2 linked regions of the Bombyx mori genome follow. The protein of the gene in region 1 purifies or fractionates together with the protein of each later gene. This does not show direct contact. Links are inferred from orthologs where the notes say so. Each region holds a gene or a part of one and is shown on either strand. Other genes may lie near its edges.

Region 1 (11,456 bases):
TACGCTCCGTAACATAAATGGCGTTTCTATTTCTACAAATAAATGACTGTCACTTAGAGTTTGTAATAAAACTATTATAGAATATATACAGTCTGACCTATTAAATATTTTCTTAATTTTTCAATAACTACATTAATACAATCACTGTCAATTTTACCAGTGCAAAAACTACCCCAAAATTTTTCAAACATCCACAATAACGTACAACATATCTGAAATACTTTCATTCTTCATTTGTTGTGTGCAAAGAAAACATTACCAAAAAAAAAACGATTTTGAATTGATATTTTAATAATTTTTTGGCGTAGTGCTGCTATTTATGAGCACTCATTCCCTTTACTCTCAGTTTTACAACTAATCATTGTATTTTGTTAGGTTTTAGCGAGGTATTGATAAAATTAAAATTAATTTTAAGACCATGTGGATATCGTTGTTTACGTTATTTTAAACATTTCAATATTATAAACTCTAAACCTTCTTATATTGTCAAATTTATGTTTAAGTGCCACACAATTACAGTCAGGTATCTACATTATTGTAGAGATTGTTTTACAATTATTTTCTAGCACTCTTACTAGAGAGAGTAAGCAGTTAACATGGCCAAGTTGCTTACCTAACCATATTGTGGATGGTGCTTCCCTTCAGACAATCAGTTGGAGTAAATATAGACCAATAGTTTTAGTAATTAGCACCAGAGAGATGGGATGTAAGCGGTTACCGTTGCTTATTAATCTTTAGAAATTATAATTTAGATACGAGAGTAAATGCGCACTACAGAATTTAATATTAAGCTGCTATGGTGAGCAAACTGGTTTAATTATCTAAAAGAGACGTGACCACGCGTGGGCCGTGGGCCCGGCACGGACGTAGACCGGCCGCATCAGGGGCTTAGAACCGCTGAGAAAAAAGGTATATAGAATGAAACTCTGGTATGACGCAAAAGAAAGGAATTTTTGAATGAAAACCGAAAATAAAAAAAATCATTTTACTTTTTTTAAAACCTAATCAATGGTGGTGACCTCATTCGCGCACACGGTACATTTCTCACAAATAATACTGTTACTTACGTTTTTACGATGATTTGTACTGGTTCAAATAATGAGTTTTATAAAAATGTTACTTAATTAACGTCTTTAATGTGGTAAATTTAAGAATTTCTTTTCAAAAAAACAGACTTTCGTATTGGAAACTTAGAAACAAAAGTGGACCTACTGTTTATTTTCAGTTTTGAGTTTTGACAAGTTTCAATCGACAGTTGACAATATTGATTTTGACAGTGAAATCAAAGTCCAGAAAAGGCTTATGACTACAAAGGCCAAGCCAAGAAGATATTTAGCAAAAAAAAGTCTGGTTCCCACAGTTAATGCAGTATGCTATCCTAAGTAAAAATCTAAATTGGGCGAAGCCTGTATCGGGTCTGATCTGCAGGTCGGAAGGATCCGAAGGAGATTGACTGGTGAATTTTTCACAAAATGCCTATCTATTTTACTGGATACCAGTACATGAACTGCCGATCGACCTGGTGCGAAGATCCTTTCTTTTAAAGCCTAATCTTAAGAAAGAATGTTCCATATTTACTATTTGAATATATAAAGCATTATTTATTGTCAAAGACAAAAATTAACTAGCTATTTACCTTGTTAAGAGTATTCAAATTGAATACCATTAATATAGCAAAATTCTATAATTAATATCGTGGTTAATACACTTAATATTAATATAATTCTTTCATCTAATTAGTTTTCTTGACATTTTAAACAATCGCGTCTTTGATTTTGGTAAACATACCATAACTCAGTTTTCTGAAACCACCTGCCTCATGCACCATGCACCACGTTCAAACTTGAGGCTCTGTGGGTAAGAACTTCAGCTCTATAATATGGGTGTACAAAGAGAAACATAACACAGTATCAAGGTTTAAATTTTACTTTCTCAACACAATTAATATTTACAAAACATTTTAAATATAAATTATATTACAAAGTCTAAAATATCATTTAAGAATTATTATATTTATACAAATCAAAGTACTTAGCGCGTTGTTATAAGCAAGTGACCATAGACGCTGCATGCTGAAGTCACAGCTTCGGGAGCAAAAGAGACAACAAGCACTCAATTTAATTTTTCATGACTCTTGTCAAAAATGACAGCTGTCAAGACAATTTGAACGCTACAACGTCGTCAAGCAATATAAAAGTTACATTAATATGGAATGGTGTAATCGTGTCACGTATTGGTGGGGACCGCCTTGTACAGCCTGAGTCGGGACTCTGACAGAGCCGCCAGTATATTGCTTCCGTTCGTCTCGACCGAGCACACGTCCAGCGCGGGCTCCGACGCGGGCAGGGACATGGTCCGCGTGCCGTCGACGCCGTGCAAATAAAGCGCTGAATCGCTTTCAGAATGAGCGGCGACCCACGCAGAGCTCGCTAACCTCACCCAGGCCACTTTGGACATCAACGAGGACCTGAGCGACCCCGAGAATGTTTCTACCACGTCACAAATAACTTCGCCGTTCGGTATGCTCGGTTTCAATTTACAGACGCTCAACTTAGATCTTTCTAGACCATTCGAACTCGGTCTGGACGCTATGACGGCGCGTTGGGACGCGTTATCATAGGCCAGAGACATGAACGATCCTTCCACGGGCAAGACCCTCGGCTCACACTGCCTTGTGTTCACCGCCCACAGCTTCGATGAGTTCAACTGGCACGACAAGAGACCATATTCTGTGGAACACAAAGACACAACTGGTGACAGGTCCCCCGGAGAGCTCAGCATCCGTAAGTAGGTGCTAGGGTTTCTGACGTCATAGTGGTGGATCACGCCTCCGACGCCGCCTACGTAGAACTCGTTGCTGCGCAAGTTGTCCCAAGAGCAGGACCAGAGCGGCATGCCCGAGTTCACCGTCACGCTGAGGATGCCGCGCTCGACTATCCGCGCCGTGCTGTCCAGGGCCACGCTCAGCAGCAGGTCCCGGTGCTGGGAGTACGTGATGTCGCGGATCGGCTTCGGGTGCAGATGGACGAACTGCCCCAGCTTGTAGTCGACACAGCTGATCTTCCTTATCCCGAATCCAGGGAAGAGATAGTTGACGCTCTTCTGGGACACATACAACTCGTAGGTCCGGCAGTTGTAGGTCAGGACTCTGCAGCCTCCGTCCTTGCATATTTCAAGGTTCTTCTCCAAGGCGAACCTCCAGGACTTCCTGGAAGGCTGCTCCTTGTTAGATTGAGACTTCATTAGGGTGCTCCGTAGGCCCTCGAGCTGTTGCACGCAAGCGCGATGTGCTATCTTCATCTTTTCTAATTCCAGTTCGGTTCTGCTCTTCTCTGATTGAAGAATCTCAACTTGTTTTTGTAGAGCCGTAATTTGCGAAGTGTCCGCCGCTACCAAGCGCCTCGCGTATATGAACCTCAGGTCCTTCAAGTTGGCCTTCCCCTTGCAGGTCGGGCACGTTCTGTCTTTTAGTTTCTGAGCCTTCAGCCAGCGCTCCACACACTCTGAACCGAAAAGGTGACCGCAGCGCAGTGCTACTAGCCTGTGGTCACCGGAGTTACCCCACGAGTCCAAGCAAATCGGGCAGGTTTCGCCGTCGACCTCTTCGACTTCGTTCATCTTCCTGAGTTTGGCTGGGGGTTCGATGTCATCAGGGGGCCTGGGGTTCAATCTGATCGAAGCGCAACTATTCGAATCTTCATTTATAGATTGTCTCGTGCTCTCATCGCTGAATGAGGTGAGAGGTGAAGTGAGGTTGCTGTCCTCGCTCTGAGCCGGGAGGTGTCCTGGTCCGTTAATGATGATGTTCAGCACCGTGTCGTTGCTGTCATCGTTGTCGTACCTCAAGGGACCGGCCAAGTCTATTTGTATGGGCTCATCGCTGGGCACATCTAACGGACCCTCGGAGGGATCGTGATCATGGCTTCGACTAGTCGACGGCAGATCTATGTGGTTGTCATTCTCTGCTGCTGCGAAGCTTTGCTCCGGTTCTTCGAATATATTTGGACTCCCCGGTGACTCTGTGCCCTGGCTCTGTGCGGTGGGATACTGGCTCATTTTTCGTAGTCATTGGGTTACCTGGGAACAGAGAAAATGTTTTTGGTCTAAGTCATCCTTTTCTTGATTACATAGAAGGTGTGTTGGTAATGTTCCTGGAAACGAAGACGAGTGGTAGAATTGCTGATGGCTCAACAAACAACGCAAAATAATAATTATCTAAAATTTGAATTTCCAATTAATTTAATTTAACAAATCCTTTACCTCAGACTTTTTTTTTTTCGGGCCGAGGCCCGAACCTCTTACGAGGTCCCCGCGCCTATGGGGCGCGCGGGCTATGTGGGACTCAACGATCTGCAAGGTGTTGGAAGCAGACAGCGGGCCCAAGGAATTTTAGGGCACACCCACTAAACGACTCCCCTGCACTCTTACACCCGACGTCCGATCTCCGTTCGGGGTCAATACCCGGTCAGAGTAGAGGGGTTCCTGCAGTCAACACTACAACCAGACACGCGGCGCCACCCTGAGGACGCTCGACCGACGGGTCGTCGAGGCGATAGTCGACGACCAACGACTTCGGTCTCCGCGGTACGGCGGCCCTACCGAGCCGCCCGGGCGATGACGCTGGTGTTCCGGGATACCCCGCTGAGCCAGAACCAGCCTGCCAGGTCGGAACGCGATACACCGCCACCTCACCATGAAACCTCACCATGAAACCCATACATCATAACATGCATGCCACCCCTCACCTTGAGACATCAGCTTAAAGTCTTAGTTATCAACAGCCTCATGTATCAGACCTGGGTACACAACTGTTTAGCGGTTGTTTGCAATGAAATGAAAGTTGGCCTCATACCAGCTGTTGTTCCATCTTATAATTATGTATAATAAAATTGCAGGCTCTGATAACCATTTAACATTAGGTGGGCTGCGAGCTCATCCACACACCTGCATCTTTGGAGCTCTTTACCCACAAATTTCTCACTAAAGATAAATACTTATTTGAAGAATGGTGGTCACACTTGAGTATCTCTAGCACAATAGTCACAGCCAGATGACATTACAGAGTCCTCAACAATTGCATGATATTATGTCTTAGCTAGCTTTCATAGCTGCTCATAGCACACTGTTGTCCAGCTGGACATCTAAGAGTCACAGCTGTGTCAATCCAACAACTCAACAAATTGTAACGCATGATTGCTGAGCATAGTCCTAAGGTTACCACCAATTGGGATTGCAGATTGTTTTAGGGCTGTTACCATATTATGTACAATGTCAAACAGACACCGTTTTATTCTTAACATAAGCATACTGTATTGTGAACATTCAATAATTATGATGTACATTGAATTTGCAAAAATACCCTACCTATAAAACTTAAATCACACACATAAGATAGCCTGATGGTTTGATTTTTACCATTCATTTTACTAAATTAACATTGTCAACCTTAGATCTTTGTGATCAATTTGACACAAATTTTATCATTGAGACTATTGAGACAGATAAATTATTACTGAAATGTAACATCATCGTTTCACAAGGAGTCCTTCAGGTTAGATTTAGGTATGCCAGTTGGTTTGGGTTTGTAGTCGATCCAATTTCAGCCCACTACCCCACTGTTTCTGTCAGCTATCAAATTTGTCTCAAGATAGGAGGAGGCATGCGAGTTTTCATACCAATGAGCTTCGATCGCATCTTCTAACACTGAACCACTTCTCAATCATGTGGTCTGAGGTTTGGGGATGCTCGACAGTACTAATTTATCAATTTCTTAGAAAACGTTATTATAATTAGTATAGAACATAAAAAAACCTAGTCGGGTTATGTACTGAGGACTTTTACATATTTAATTAAATTCCTACTCACCCTTTGCACAGGTCAATAGCTGCAACAATCACTAATATCCGTAAAATGTATCAATGAAAAAACGTTTCTTGTTAAGCGGAAACAATTTTTTGTTTGTAAAATTTTACGTAGGTATTGTTTACATTTATTTGATGGCCATTTGTTTTAACTTTTATTTCGTTATGATTAGATTTTGTAACATTTAGTAGACAAATTAATTTCGTTATTTACGTACATTAATTCATGTGCTAATACTACTTGGTTTTAATGTTTATTGTGTATTATTTCTTGTCAATTTTTATAAATTAAACCGCTTTTTCGTCAAAAACATCAAAATTTTCAATTTGAGAGTAATTATTTGGGTTACCAAAAGACAAATATTTCCACAGATTAGTTGGGAATTTGGATCCCAATGCCAATGCACAAAACTTGGCTCACATTATAATTATGTAGTCCTTCCAGATCCTACACCTTTAATGAAAAGAAAATTTGTAATGTACTAGGCCCTGATTAGACTGCAGATCTTGTAAGTTTCTTTATCTCTGGAATGCGGTTTCTAAAGACAGACGAAATACCAGTATCAATCACGGTACCTAATTTGCATAATGTAAAGCGTCTGAGCGAATCTCTTCCAACGCACTTCGGAAATACACTAATCAGGTACGAACAAACTTTGTAACCTTTATTATCTAATACCACACTTCGGAAAATAAAAAGTCCCTGTTCAGCTGACTTCATGGCCTTCTCAAAAAGAACTGTTAACTAGTCCTCATCAGACATCATAACAGTTCAGTATTAAATGTATTTTAAATCTAATAGTTGTCTTATAACTCTAAACCGTACTGAAAGACTGGTTCCCAGTAATATTACAGGACTACCTTTTAAGATTATTCAATTCCCTAACGCTACCGACGCGGCGACAGTTGATAAATTTTATTAATTTATTGACAACTACTCAATATACTTGTAGTACCTACCGATGTTTTTATTTAAAAATACACTTTGTTTCGGCAACAATTAGGCCAGCACGCAGATTCCAATTTTAAAGCCGGCAGTACTAAATTTAGTGTCAAATCTGATAAAGGAGGAGGATAACGGGCCTTGCTCATTCCGTATTTTTATACAATTTAAAACGAATCGAGCTTGTATTCGTGACTTATTTATGTAATAATATACTCAATGTTATTAGTTTACCATTATTTAACATAAATAACAGTGATGAATATCTCTAGTGAAGTGAAATTTAAATTTACAAGTTGATCATTTGTTGATATCATGGCGACCGAATGGGGATGTTCGGTAGTGTTTATATGAAGAAAATAATCGTGTTTCCACATATTCATGCAATATTGTAATGTACTTGTACAGCGGTTAGTGATTTTATTTATATTAAAATTACTCAAAAATTAGAGTGATCGATATTACTCAATTTTTTTGCAGTGAGTGAGCTTAAAGCACTGAAATCCGCGATGGAATAAATTAAATGCTTGAATATGGTGTTGTACTGAACTTGTGCTCTTTTACACAGTCCTTCTCTATTGCTCTCATTTCGCATTAGCTAATAAATGCAAAAATGTCCACATAACGATGTCAATACGATGTTGCAAGTTCCAAATGTAGGTCAGATAGAGTTTAGGTCAGATGCGCGCGCACTGACGTCAGAAATCCACCTTTTGGCGCACCCCTAAAATAAATTAAAACGTATACTGAAAAACAAAAGAACTGATGCCCACAAACAGCATTTAAATTCAATAATTTTCATACAAACTACAAACAAACAAACAACATACAAACAACATTTCATTCTAGCAAAATATGTTTGACTGAATTTGGAACAAGAGCTTATATGTTTGCTGGTGCAGGATCCGGAACAACATAAAATAAAATTTCACTGTAATGAAAACTTTAGAATTAATTTTATTGTTGCCTTTTGATTCCCATCACAAAACAATCACTTTTTAAGTTAAATCATACCCATTAAACATTAAATGTCACTGAAAACAGTTAAATAATTTGTGTGCATTGTATGAAAAAACAAATATGTTTTAGAATAAACAAAGCTATAAAAGTAATGTTGATTGTATTTTAAAGGTCCATTGCATACAGAAATGTTTCTTAATACTAAAGATATATAGATAGTATATAGCATATTAGGAAAATGGACAAGAAAAAACTGACATTGATTGTCCCCAAACCGCTATTCTTATTAAAGCTTCTGTTTCTTCTTCAAAGCACACCCCTGCCAATGTCGAGTAGTTAATAAATCAGTGACAAAGAATGGAGAAGAGAATAAAATTGCATAATATAATCACAAACAGTAATCATGATAAAGAAACTAAAAAAAATCAAAGTTTGTCTTCTTTGTACTGGACACACATTTATTTTGAATAATGATACTGATTTTGCCTCAGAATCAAATTCAGTTCTATGATACAGTATGTCACAGCAACAAGGAAATCCAAGAGAAATAGTTATCCAGTCCATGGGCTGAAGTTATAATCACTGGTAGTAGTTCTGGATCAGAGTCATATATCCAACCTCTTTTTTATTGTTTAATTTCTATTTCAGTACTTAAAAGATTTTTGTGGATATTCACTGACGGTACCATATTTTTTATTATTTGATTTTTTATTCCAAGTTGCTCTCATCTATGAGCATATCTTAACTACATATGATGTGTTCTCATTCATTAGGCTTATGGCCTCAATCACTGTTAGATCTGGTTGTATTTGAAGTCTTAAAAAGGCCCAATTATCAGTGCCCTACATAGATAAAATCTTGTTTTTATAAATGAATATTCTAAGAACTATAAGAAATGTAAGTAATTTAGACATTTTTGTCCTTGGCACAGAACACTGTTTTGTCATATTTGCAATCTTCTATCAGATCTAATTCTGAGTGTATCCTTTTGTACGCATTTGCTTCTATCAAAACACTTGACAGTCAGCTGATCACAATATTATTGTTCAACAAAAATCCAATAATAAAAAATATGGTAATTAAAGATCTAATAATTATTATATTTTCTTACATAGTGGGGTTTCTTACATAGTACTTATGGGTAGTTTATTTAAATATTGTTATCTATGTAAATTGTTACTGTAGGGGTCTAACTAGTAAACTAAAGTATTGATTGAAACAGTCATACTTAGATGTCCATGTTACTTTAGGCACTTTAGGCAGAGGGTTCAGTGTTCTTGTATTCTAAGACTTCAATATTATCCTGACATTTGGAAAGTAATAATTTTAATGGTACACAAAATGGGAAAACCAACCAATGAAGTAATTTCCATAGACTTATTAGCCTACTGCTAGTTTTCTGAGATTTTCGAAAAGCAGTTGTTACACCAATTTTTACCTATACAAACCAACTTAAAAAATTCATAAAGTGGTGGATAGAATCAGTAAGTTACTGGTAAATAATGAATACTGCTCTTTGGTCTTGCTTGACATACAGCAGACCTTCAATAGAGTTTGACCTTAAGATCTTTTCTATGAGGTTACGAACAGCCTTACCATAACTACCACTTACCATGCAAATCCTATTTGTCTGAGAGACTATTTTTGATGGAGGCTGAGTCTTCTTTTGCATTCTAACAAATTGTTTGTCTTGGGATTAATTATGTACATGATACATATATTTGACTGGAAGTGTAGGATATCACAATGGCCACATTGATCATTGATATTTGCTTATGGTACCATTTCTCAGATGCTTGATGTCATTACAGCAAAGTATGCTGATGCATTTCCATTGCAGTTGGTAAATATGTATTTGAAACTAAGAGTTTAATTTGAAGTCAAATGAATAGAAGAGTCAAATCTAGACCACTTAGAACTGCTACTTCTTCTCTGGGCAAATAGATCCACTTTGTATATTTTTGTTGCCAATAAATCTCACGTCAAGACACTTGTGGGGCACATTGTGGAGATGTTTAATACATAATTTGTACTATTATTTCCTGAATACCATATTGTGTAATGAAGATGCTTAGCTTAGTTAGCATAATATGAACCATAGGTTGAGATAACACTCCTTAATATTCCATGATCATAAAAAGTGAAATATTTGAGCCATTGGATAAAATGAAATTGATATTTAAATAATATGTAATCTTATGGTTTATAAAAGTTATTTTGATTATTTCTACAACTAGTGAAAATCCATGAAGATTGCCTTTTATCATATTAGTCCAATATGTCCATTGTCAAATGCTGCTTAGTAAGAAACACTCTCAGACACTGCTGCTGTCCACGGGTGACATTAACTACTTATACACTGATGTTGTGGTATGGTAGTTTCAATGTTTGCCGGTCTTGTAGGAGGAGGTACGCGGCTGTGATGGCGGGGCTCGACCCATGAGCCGGCTGCTGTGCTGTTTGTGCGCGCCCGTCGCTAATATGGGCGCCGCGCTCTCGCACCCGCAGGTATACCAGGTACCGCAGGTACCACACACTATATACTGTTAAAAGCGAGACCTTACAACGCATGTCTCAAGGTGGGTGACGGCGTTAACATTGTACATGTCTGTGGGTCTATAACCACTTAGTTCAGGTGGGCCGTGAGCTCGTCCACCTAACCAAGCAATAAAAAAAACATGAACTGATCAGTGTGCCCATTCTGAGTGACTCGAAAATTACTATTGTAATCCTGCCTGGACTATCTAACTGAATTCGACCAATGACTTCCATGTTCAATAATATTGTACTATGAAAATCAACAGACATGTTTCTGTTTGGGTTATCAGTAGCGGTGGCCTGGTTATCCATCCTCATTGCCAGCCACTACCGATCTGTGTAAGCAGCCCATGAAGCAAATAGGCATCCTATTTTGCAGGTGGGACAGATGCTGTCAATGATAGTTGAGACTTCAACCTGATGTCCCAAGTGGATGGTGATACCGATACTTGGTGATATTAATTGACTCCCATAAACATATAGAAGAGTGGAAAGCTATTTGGTTTATGCAACATTTCGCTTAACATGGGACATTTATCTTTGTAATTAAAGGCTTCGTCAAACAGAACGCGTACTTAGCGCGCGTCAGAGCGCTAAACTAACGCCGCGCTATGACGCCGAGATGTGTTGTACTACTATGGTAAGATACCGTCAAACAGAGCGCCAGCGGTATAGCTATACTGCTGAGTACAACACATCTCGGCGTTATAGCGTAGCGCTCTGAACCGCGCTAATTACGCGTTCTGTTTGACGAAGCCTTTAAGGTGTTTTTTATTTGTTAAAAGCATCAAAAGTTTGATGCTTTTAATTGAAATTCAATGTGGCTTAATACATTTAAATAGCTCAAGAAGTTTTTTTTTCTTTAAGATGTTTTTTGCTAATTTTAAACTTTAAATGGCTCTCCTGTAAAGTTGCAAAAATGTCGTTTAAGTCAAATAACATTTCGACCCTCGATATGATCGTCCCGAGCACTACTGCTCTTGTTAGAGATCTAATGGCTGTTGTTTTTACCATGTACTCAATGTTTCCACGTCCCCAGGAGGGAGATATATGTGATGGTGTTGGCGGACCGCCGGCGCCTCCCACTATGGCCGACGTTATAAGGCAAGTATCAATATTTATATATATATAAATGAATCTGCAGAATGTATGTA
Region 2 (11,466 bases), on another chromosome or scaffold:
GGCGCCAATTGTATAAGAATGTTGGAGTGCCCGCGGTTGTATGGTTTACCCTAATGTTACTGTTTTATTTGGGATGATGGTTTTCAGTGAAGAAAAGCTTAACATGGGCGACGGTCGGGTCCGCGGCGTCTGGGTGCTGCCTTCAGAATGTTATCGACACGAAGAATCATCTCGGCCGCTTCAGCCGCAGACAACAGGACCTGTCTCTTTACGACATACGACTCGGTCACACCCAACTTCTTCATATCACCAACAGTGCCGTTTTGCATATCTATGAACAAAAAAAAACAATTCAAATTGTGCTTACAATTTTTAAATGCGGGGGATGTTTTTCAGTTTGATAATTAATTTTAATGGAAAATTAAAACCCTGATCCAGATAAACTGGACCAAACATACATACATATATTGTAATTTTTAAAGGAAAAAAATCACACAATATTATATTTTTATATCATTTTTATCTGATACTTTTCTATCTGTGGTATATTTCTATATAATGTTTAATCCAAATCGCGCATTCTATGTATTTTTTACCACCCCATTTTAGTCACAATAACTATAATTTAACTATGCACTACATACAAGCGCCTGGACTAATGGACGCCACTTGTGGGGATCTGCAAGTGACTTCAAAATCTAAATCTAAAGAATATTCTGAACTGAATCTGAATTAAACTAAAAAGATTCCCTCCCTGACATCTTGTTGTTGTTGTATTTCTAGGGTACCCTGCTGGTACATAGGGTCCTCAGAAGTTGTCTCCACTTGACCCTGCCCTGTATTGACATAGCCATATGCTTAAAACTATGGCATTAGTCTCAAGTAGATTATCTGCTCTGCACGACAAGTATAACGCAACAAATCTCCTCATTAACTAAGAACTGAATAAAGCACCACATACATACCATTCTCATGTGATTGTTAGTGATGAGTGTTAGAACTACAATTAGAGGATGAAGTGGTGGTGTTATATAGAATATTCCATATAACACAGAATGTGATATAACATAATATGGAATGAAATGAACAACTCTTGGTTTTGTAAGCTTTTCCTTGTGATGACCATATTAAAAATATATGTATTTTTGTTATAATTGATGTTTTAACTATAGCTGTGACCCACAAAAGCCTGCTGCACATGAAAATGTATGATAATACAATTAGATCATCAATACTATATGTAGAATTACCTTTAAAACCTTTGAAGAATAAAAATTATTGTTTTTTTTTTAATAATCGCTTTAGAATCAATATCTATACTAATAGTAGTGGTTTTTACTGATGTTCTGTTATAACTACTGAACCATGGATCCGATTGACTTGAAACTTGGTATCCATGTAGAAAATACATGTACTTAATGGATAGGCTAATATTTATATGAGTGTTGGACTCCCTACACCAGTTGCGGGGGCGTTAATGATGAGAATCTTTGTGGGGGTGAGAAATAATACTGTTAATTTTAAATGGTATTTCTATATAAAATTAGAATACGTGACAATTCGTTGTGTGAATGTGGTTTGGACGACAGCAGTATAGATCACATTTTCCTCAATTGTCGCTTGAACAACTCATTCATATGAGACCAAGTTATTAGCGAACTGAAAATTCAACGGCCGGTAAATGTCCGCCACAACCTCTCACTGTTCCCAGATCCCCGTATTATAAGTGCTTTTATTAAGTTTTTAACTACTAACTCTATAAAATTATAATGATATGTAGTGCATTACTCTCTGTACATAATCTTTATTATAATATGTAAGTTTATAGTAACATTAATTTTGTGTTAGTCCCAGGCACCATTATTATTGCCAAAATTGGATACTTTTCATAATAAAAAGTGTGTTTAAATAGCTCGACAATGTTCCATGTGTAGCCATAACACGACACTGGCAGAAATTGCTGAAAGTATCGGCAGATTGCCATTAAAAAATATATAATAATAATAATAATTTTAAGTGCTCAGTGAAGCGGACGGGTACAGCTAGTACAATATGAAATTAGAGTACCTAATCCCATAGTGTTTTCTCCTCGAGAATGATGAGCTCTGAGTCGAGCAATGAGATCAGCACTGTCGTAGCCAGCATTGTCGGCGACAGCGGACGGCAGTCTCCGGAGCGCGACTGCAAAGGCTTCGGCTGCTGCGGCTTCCTTCCCGGCTGTGCGAGCGCCGGCGCGGGAAGCTGCTTCTGCCATTAGCATTTCACCAGCCCCTACATGCAAAAAATGCTTTGACATATGGATTTTATTTCCAGTATAGATAATAGGGTGTTCAGTCCAGACAGTCGAAGTTGATCAGTGACTGCGACAGTCCATCTGCGAGTCTTTGTAAAAAAATATATTTGTAAATTTATGACACCCTTTATCCCAACTAAAAGAGATTAACGCATCATTTTGCTATAACAAATATTACAGTTATATACTGTCTTCTTAGTCGTTACACTCTTGACATATAGCAATGGAGGATGCAAATTTGATGCGCCTCACCATATCCCACCATCACACTAGGTACACATTATTGTGTTTTAATTAATCACACATCGCACCTTTAGAATTATAGAGACCTAACCCAAAAAATGTGTTTTTTGTAAAACGTTGAATAAAGTTTTCAAACGGAATAGACATAAGAGGAGGATGATGTGAAAGAGACCTATGGATAAGTTTGTCCCTTTATAAGCTACTTTCGGTCATTTGATTAAAAAGAGCAGCTGATGATGGGTCGTTCTAGGTCAATTTTTTAATTAAAGTCGAAATAAAAAATTTCAAAATGGGTCTGTATAATTCTAAAAGTGCGATATATTTTGTGTAAATGTCATGTAAAATGCAAAAGTAAAATATATTAAACATAGTTTTATTTTAGTCTTTTATTAAGTAATTCATACCTCCTCCACATATGACCTTCGGTTCTTTTACAGTAGCAGCAAGCACGCAAAGCGCATCATGGAGTGAACGCTCAGCTTCGTCGATAACTTGTTGCGTGGCACCACGGATTACGATCGTGCAAGCCGAGCCCAACGCTACACCAGAGAAGCGGATCAAGCTCTCATCACCAATCAGAACCTGTGAGTGGTCACCGATTATAAATATGTTACTTTATAAATAGCTACCTAATATTATGATTTATTTTTGATATATTTGGGTGACAGAAAACAACATCACACCACAAACATTGCCAATTAAGTAGTTACTACAGCAAAAACTCAATTGAACCAAACAAAAAAACTTTATCCTTAAAAGATTGGGATATGTACTTGAATAGGTTGTAAAAAAACTCAAACAGAACAGTGAAACCACAAATGCACTTTTTAGTAGATATTTAAAATGTCTACTTTGAGTATGTGCTTCAATTGATATTGATAAGCAAGTTATGCACCAGAAGATTGATAAAAAAGTTAAAAAACCATGCTTGAGGAACATCGGTATAGCAACAGATCAAAAGACAAATTTTCTGCATTGACAGCAAATCTCTTATTGAGAAGAGGTTTTCTTATGATTTAAAATATGTCATTTTACCTCTTCGATCAATTTGCAGTGACCAAGTTTCACTTTGTCTGGTGAGTCAAATGTTGACACAATTTCCCCTCCAGTGACCAAGCCAAGCCTTTCGATACCTTCGAAATCAGCATGCTCAATTGCCATTACTCCAGCATCAGCAAACAACTGCTCTGGGTAGTTGTATATAAGTTGTCTGAAAATTAAAATTACCATAATAAGATACCCTCTTAGGCTTCCAAACACAAAAATTTCAAGAGATTAATTTAATATAAGCATATTTATGCTTATTTCAGATGCTATGCAGTTAATTTGTTTTATTTTACTTAAATATTGTTTTAATCATATCTGCATTAACATTATGTATCAACGAAGCGCTGGGGTCGTTAGTTTGACTTCACCTATTGAAGAAACAAGCAAAGTCATGTTATAGTTTAGTCAATAAACATTTAAATACGTTGGAATATATACTCTGGGTCACGAGATCTTTTTTGAAAGAAATAAATTATTATGATTTGTTATTTAATAATGAATTAGCACATGTGTTGGGTAACAAATCAATTCATTGTGTGTCTTTATGTAACCCCCACTTAGCAATTACTTTATTAAAAGGAGAACAATTACCCTCACTAATACACTACATAAATAGAAAGATAATCAGGTTTGTAAAAAAAAGTTTAATGCTATGTTCTACTCTTGAGTAAAAATAATAAATTACTTAAATTAGGTTCGGTCAGCCTAATTTAAAATAAAAACAGTGATGTAAGATATCAATCTGGGCACCTCTGTTTACATTTTGAAATCTATAAGCTCTTGTAATTGGTTAACATCAGATCGGAGCTAACTTGACCAACTAAGCAAATACAAAATAAAAACAACTTATGACTCACTGACTGAAAAATAATAATTAAGAACCAATATTTGCAACAGCAATCAGTTTTGTATAAGAATAAGTAATGTATAATAATAAGTAATCTATAATAATATTTTCTGAGTATCCAAAAATAGAGCAATTATACAAATCTTTATAGCAAAACAATCTCACCTGTTAATGAAGACATTACATTTGTGTGCTAAAATCTTGTTCACTTTGTCCTTCATTTTCTCTTTCTCAGCTACTTCCAATTCAGCAATCTTGGCCATTGAATCCACTTTAATTGTGGAACCAAACACTTTAATCTTGTCAGTGTCCATTGGTGTGTTTGCAATAAGGATGTTAGCATTTTCTACTTTCTTTGGTTGATGTACACCAACCTATAAGAAATAATATGCCCATTAAAATTTTTGTATCTATAGGTACTGTTTTTCTTTATTAATGTAATGATCAAATAGAAAAACTAAAGAGCACTAAAACTCAATCATTCAAAGGTTTTTTTAAAACTTACTTTTTTGTTTAGCAAGAACCCTTCATCCAAGAATGACTCTTCAAGAAGACCTCCAGATATTTTGATAATTTGGATAGCTTTTAAATTACCAGATCCTTTCAAACGCAAAACTGCATCAACTGCTAATTTTGTGAAATGCCTGAAAGAATATTATACAGTTTATACTGTCTTTGGCCTGAATATTTATGCAACTATGTTGTATGTATATCGTAATGCCTATTGGCTCTGATAGCACTTGAGACTAAGTGCACTATTGAGGCTAATTAAAAAAATACCTCAAGCTTTAGTAATTTGGATAAAAAATATAAATCTCGGCACTACCTTTGGTTGACTGGTAGAGAATGCCTTAGGCATTAATTCCGCCAATGTAAATTTAACATGAAGTGTAATAAATAAATAAAAATCTCATAAAACATTTCACCCCATTTGTACAGTTTCTGTGTTAAAAAATATGAGAAATGACTTTAATTAACCTCTGCTTTTTGGGCTTAGATAATCTGATGCCAATATTTTCTAGATAAGCTGACACATAGACAAACTACAGTTTTTTTTATATCTGCTATTAAGCTACAGCTAAATGACAAAAGAAATTATGATTCTTAGCCAAAAGTTATAATTATTCAGCCATTACTGGTAAATTTACATTATTTTTAAAGCAGATTCTCATGACTTATACTCTTTTTACGCTCAACTCATTGATATAAAGTTGTCCTCTAAATCTTTGGTGATCACAACTCTAAAAAAATCAGAACTTAGACATTCTAATGAAGACCCTGATTGCAAACACTGGTAGATAAAATTGAGTTGCCCTACAAAAAAAAAATACACATAGTAACATTAGCAATACAGCAATAAGTCTTGGAAAATAAAAGACCTAATGAATTAAAATATATGTATATCTAATAATATTGGAATTAATATACTAGTATGTCACAGATATAGCTAATAAATAAAGATATTTTTCAATTGGTATTGAAAACAATGTAATTTCACAGTATACTGGTTTTCACTACTCACTCTTTGTGATTTGAAAGGATCTTTGAGCTCAGTGTGGTCCGTGCGATGTTTTCTAAATCCACTCTTAATGAAGCCTCATTTAAGTTCTTCTGATGATCAAAGCTAGCTTCTGCAAGAGCTTGTTTGGCTGCATCAGAAGCAATTCTCCAACCAGCAATGATTGTTTGAGGGTGCAGTTTTTGTTCAATTAATTTTTCAGCCTCTCGAAGTAATTCAGCAGCTGAATTTAAATAGAACTTTTATCATTATGAGATGCGTTTACATGAATTACAAAAAAAAATCTGATTATATGTTAAAAATAGTATATTTACAAACATATTTCAACTATTTGGTAAGTTTTTTTAAATTTATAACAATGTACAGAGTCAATGTGTTGGCCGAGGTGTTTCCCTAGCGCCTTGCTTGCTTGTTCTTTTTCAAACGAGGCTTGTGGAGAGTACTCAACAGTGGGCAGTGGCTTAGCTCTGCCCCTGGCATTGCTGAAGTCCATGGGCGACGGTAACCACTTACCATCAGGTGGGCCGTATGCTCGTCTGCTTACAAGGGCAATAAAAAAAAATTAAATTAAAGACAACATTATTGTCACTAAAGTTTAAACTAACCCAAAACTGTAACAGATGTGGTGCCATCTCCGACTTCTTCATCTTGTACCTTAGACATATCTACTAGGATTTTAGCAGCAGGATTATCCACACCGATAGATTTCAATATCGTAGCACCATCATTTGTTACTTCGACCTGAAGCGAAAATTCTTTATGCATAAAACATTTCAAAACACAGCATACATTATTAATGTTTAATAAAAAGACAGTTAATTTTACCTGACCAGAGTTCCTCCCGCAGGAAACTAAGATCTTATCCATTCCTTTGGGACCTAAAGTACTCTTTACCAAATCTCCTATGGCAATAGCACCGATGAAACTGGACATCCGGGCAACTTCAGCTTTCTCCTCTTCTGCTTCATTTTTAAGGATACGAATTGGATTTAATGATACCTGTATTAAATTAATTTTAATTTAGAATTACATGTACACGTGCGTGAGGTTATACGGCATCGGGTTCTATTTTCACTTAGTTTTCACTGAATACGTCGTTTTTACTTATAAGTATCAGTAACAATGAAGATACGTTAGATTAAATTAAAGATTTTACTAACCATTTTGGATGAAGGACCTAATTAATTATTTTTCTTTACGCTTTTATCGGCTACAATGCACAAAGAGAAAAGGGAACGACCGAACGACCACTTTGATCACTAATAATGTATACTCTATGTCATGTATTATCTATGCTCTATGTATTTGCTCTCTGTTTTTTGCTAAACTTGTCTATTGGAAAAGCAAAGGGAACGAAACTCATGTAATGAAATCTTGTATTACAAAAATCAAAGCCTCGTATGAATATTGAAATGGAAGTGATTTTACAAATGAAATCGAAGAATGAATCTTTGGTGGAAATGCAAATTGATTGACCGAAGTTATGCGAATTCATTTATTTTATTAGTGAATTGTCTCCTCAGATTAAAACGTGTGTTCATAGTAATTTATTAATTAGGGCAGCTTTGACAGGGAGAATTGAAGTCAATAAAATCGCTGAACGTTGTTTATGATCTCTTTTTTTTTATCGTCACATTTCTGTCGCCATAGCCGAACCTAAAACCACTGCGTTTTCAAAAAGATTTCTTGCTACATACAATTTAGTTTTGGAATAAACTCTCCTCCATTACATTTTTTGAATACTATTTGACCTGGTTGTGCTGTTGATGATGATCATGAGCGATGGTTATAAACATATTTCAACGATGGCGAATAAAATTGAATAAATGGCTGTGGTTTTTGTTACAAAATCGTACTAAAGTTCATCCGTATATACCTTATACACTGCCTTAAAATAAAGTTGAATACCACTGCATCAAATCGTTAAATTTCATCAAGTTACCAGCTTTGAAACGTTATAAATGAAATACAAAAATCTCGAAATTTTACTATTTGAAATCTATTTATCGATTAAAAATCGTTTCATTTTGGTTAAGCAATCAATCTTAGAGCGCCATCCGCCATCCCTAATCCTAATATTTCTATTTAGTCTGTGGTGACGCCATATTTACATTCTACGCCCGTCACCAGTGACCGAATAATAATATTCTGCATTAATCTAGTTACATTCACATTGAAATTTAATAAAAACAGTTCATAATATACAGTAAAAATGGAAGAACAAGGAGGAAGTTCCGCACCAAGAGTAAGCGACAAACGCTTGGCACAAACACAAGCCAAAGTAGATGAAGTTGTTGGCATTATGCGTGTCAATGTCGAGAAAGTTTTGGAAAGAGACCAAAAATTGTCGGAACTAGATAATCGCGCAGATGCGCTGCAACATGGGGCTGCACAGTTTGAACAGCAAGCTGGAAAACTTAAGCGCAAGTATTGGTGGCAGAATTTGAAGATGATGTTAATTATAGGTGCTATTGGTGCAGTGTTGCTTATTATCATTATTGTGTGGGCAACGTCCGGTTCGTCATCCCCTGCCGCGCCTCCAGTAACTGAAGCGCCTAAAGATGTTGGCCGATAGTTAGCCAATTTAAACATATATTCCAAAAAGTATTTATTGTGACTGGGATTGGGGTTCAGAAACGACCAAGCGCGACTGGACAAAGGAAACTTGTAATAGACGCACACTATATTTCTACATGAGTTTTACATTTAGCCTTAAAAATATTGAAAAATTTATACTGTTTACAAAAGTCCCAAACAAAATACTATACAATTTTATAAAAGTTAATACATTAAGATTATTATTATGAAAAATTGTGATTTCTCTTCATAGCTAGCTTTCATATTTAACAGTGGCCAACAATATTTTTATAAATATCTTGTGATAGGTAGTAATAAATTATGAGTAGAGTGTATGTATCACACAGATTGATTATTTAAACTCACTTTAACACATTCCGTGCCAAGTATCCTTGCCTGACTTGTCATTCACTCCATTTGATATTTGGACTAAAGATTGATATATTTTTACAAAACATACTAAGTAAACATGTTCATGTAAGAATCACATTTTACAGAATTACATTTGTTATATATATTCAGTGCAATAAATATGACTGTGTCTACCATGATTCATATGGCACGGAAGCGATTAAATATTTCTCTCCAAAGCAAAATAAAAAGCACTTTTCACACTGAACAATTCACTAGTAGACTTGTCAGTTCCAATAAGTTGTGAATTTGTGATGGTAAATTCTTTACAAATTAACTGAGATACAAAATTTTCACCTAGAAATATGGAGGTAAATAAAACTTACGAACTATAATAACTGTAAAGTGGTTGTTCAAAAAATAAATGATATCAATATTTGATGTTGAGAAGGTTTTGTCCCATTTTGTAAGTTCAGGAATAAAATATATAGGCAAATTGTCCCATTTGTCTATAATAAAAATTTACAAAAAAATATTAACATAGAACAATGTTGCACAATAAATTCTGAGAGGTTTAAATAACACAGAACACAGGTGCTCGAAGGATAAAGATAAAGATGTATACTTTTAACATTTATTGAATTATTGCTATGCTACTTTTTAAGAAATTGCACATTCATTATGTTGCACATTATCCAATCACAAACTTTGGTATAACCATGTAATCTACTAACAGTAACTCTTGTTGGGACCAATTAACGGGGTTAATGATATATTATCAATCGTCTCTAAGCCATATTTGAATTTTAATGTTAATAAAAGTCTGGAAGCTTCTCAAAGCAACTGATGAATCAGTTTGTTAATTATAGTGAAGTCCATTATCATTGTATGACAGTGAAAAATGTTAATGTTGTATTATACTAAATCAATATATGTGTAACACTTATCCTAGTTATTTTGTATTGTATAGATGTAATAAAATGTGTATTCTTCAATTGCTTTATTATTTCTGTTTTACAGAACAATCACATTTGGCACACATTGCTGTCAGATTGAAACAACTAGTTCATTGCACTTCTTAATTCAATATTGATTAAAGAAACATCTAGATATATTTTATTCATACATTTCAATCAAGATATGTAATGTATGGTATTAAAATAATGAGAGTTAATTTTCATTGTTTAACAGAATAATGGATGGTAACTACCAGAAATAAACTAGTCACATAGTTTGAAATTCTGTATAGTGCTACTTTTAACACACTCATATTTTTAGTCCTGCATGGATGTCCATATAAATGTTATGATTAATTGATCTACAAGTAAGCAGTATGTTAGAAAATTCATACAAAATAATATAATATATTTAGGCAAACAATGATCACATGCAACACGAGATCATGTGCCTTGAGAATCGAGATAAGAGAATGACACATTGAAGTCTAAAAAAATCTTGATCTTGTTTCCCCCTACCTATTTGTTGGTAGCCTAGGGGATTATTCGAACTCACTGACACTGAAGTATGAAACCTATGGAAATGAAACGTCAACAAAAAATTCGTGCCACTGTGACGTCATCTGGCCACAAAACATGGCGGTTTTAGTGCTGCCCAGAAGATTTTAATGTTAGTAGCTTTTATCGATAAACGTTCTTTGCTCATTTTATTTTAAATATTGTTGAGTATGAATTATTTGTAGAATTTATACTTTAATAGGAAGTAAGTATATTGTTATGTGCAAAGATGAGGTGATTTAGATAATATGTGAAATCTAAGACGACTTCAAATTTGCCAAGTAAACGATATGATGATTTTTAAAATTTGTTACACTGATTTTATATAGTTGTCGTTTGCCGCAAAACATAAAGATATGGCGTAGTGCAGTGCCATCTGTCCATTTCTAGCATGCTAAATGTTATGGTATTTTGAGTACGTGTTTTTCTTAGACTATTACAATCTATTTTAATTCTGTTGCTGAACTAAAGTCCGTAACACACTACCGCAGCGCACCTCAAGGAAGGTGCGCCGCACCATTTGAATCACTCTCACTTGAGAGTGATTAAAATTTTAAGCTTATCAAGGGACCACGTGATAAAAAAAAAACACCTACAGAACATTTATTCATTAATTACAAACGTCATTCCTTGTGACTTCCTCTTTAAAATCACTTAATTACTAAATATTTAACGAATTTACAATAGTGTTTTGCTCACTGCGGAATAAAACTATTTTATTTAAATAGTTCCGAAGAGATTTTGTCGGTAGCCTTTTTCCCGAAATATCTAAACAGAATGTATAAATATGTTTTGATGACATATTTTAAAGAGGTATTTATGATTAGTGTCAAGATCAATAGATTCCGACCGAAAAACGGGGTCCGATTTTTCGGATGAGGGCTCCATAATGAATTTAAATATATATAGATAATAGTTTTGGGGCATCGACTTTCTTGAGATCCTATAAAATAGTTTTTAATTATTATTTTTGTATGTTTTAAGCGGGGTAGCATGGTAGGATGACTCGATCCTAAGGTGACTGTTTCGGGTAAGGAAATTGATCGGGTGGAGTTAGCATGCAGTTTGGGTTTGACATTTGATCCCGAATTGCGATTCGAGGCCCATATTACAAAGAATTTAAGAACTTGTTTTT

What was found.
Region 2: the proteins of E3 ubiquitin-protein ligase RFWD3 (region 1) and chaperonin containing t-complex polypeptide 1 beta subunit purify together in Homo sapiens (co-immunoprecipitation; 3 studies listed by BioGRID and IntAct, with this or other methods). This does not show direct contact. The link is inferred for Bombyx mori from reciprocal best matches to the Homo sapiens genes RFWD3 and CCT2.

Annotation. Positions count from the first base shown.
Region 1 is NC_085117.1:97,313-108,768, forward strand, and holds E3 ubiquitin-protein ligase RFWD3, read right to left. Parts: upstream 6,232-11,456; 5' UTR 5,866-6,231; intron 4,078-5,865; 5' UTR 4,057-4,077; coding exon 2,227-4,056; 3' UTR 1,911-2,226; downstream 1-1,910. Other genes in the region: BTB/POZ domain-containing protein 7, read left to right, coding at 9,106-9,126, 10,168-10,281, 11,342-11,406. UniProt on the Homo sapiens protein: E3 ubiquitin-protein ligase required for the repair of DNA interstrand cross-links (ICL) in response to DNA damage. Plays a key role in RPA-mediated DNA damage signaling and repair.
Region 2 is NC_085119.1:8,625,652-8,637,117, forward strand, and holds the start of chaperonin containing t-complex polypeptide 1 beta subunit, read right to left. Parts: upstream 7,147-11,466; 5' UTR 7,053-7,146; coding exon 7,050-7,052; intron 6,889-7,049; coding exon 6,715-6,888; intron 6,631-6,714; coding exon 6,495-6,630; intron 6,113-6,494; coding exon 5,893-6,112; intron 5,015-5,892; coding exon 4,876-5,014; intron 4,745-4,875; coding exon 4,536-4,744; intron 3,687-4,535; coding exon 3,512-3,686; intron 3,059-3,511; coding exon 2,881-3,058; intron 2,212-2,880; coding exon 2,008-2,211; intron 272-2,007; coding exon 99-271; 3' UTR 1-98. Other genes in the region: synaptobrevin-1, read left to right, coding at 8,102-8,464. UniProt on the Homo sapiens protein: Component of the chaperonin-containing T-complex (TRiC), a molecular chaperone complex that assists the folding of actin, tubulin and other proteins upon ATP hydrolysis.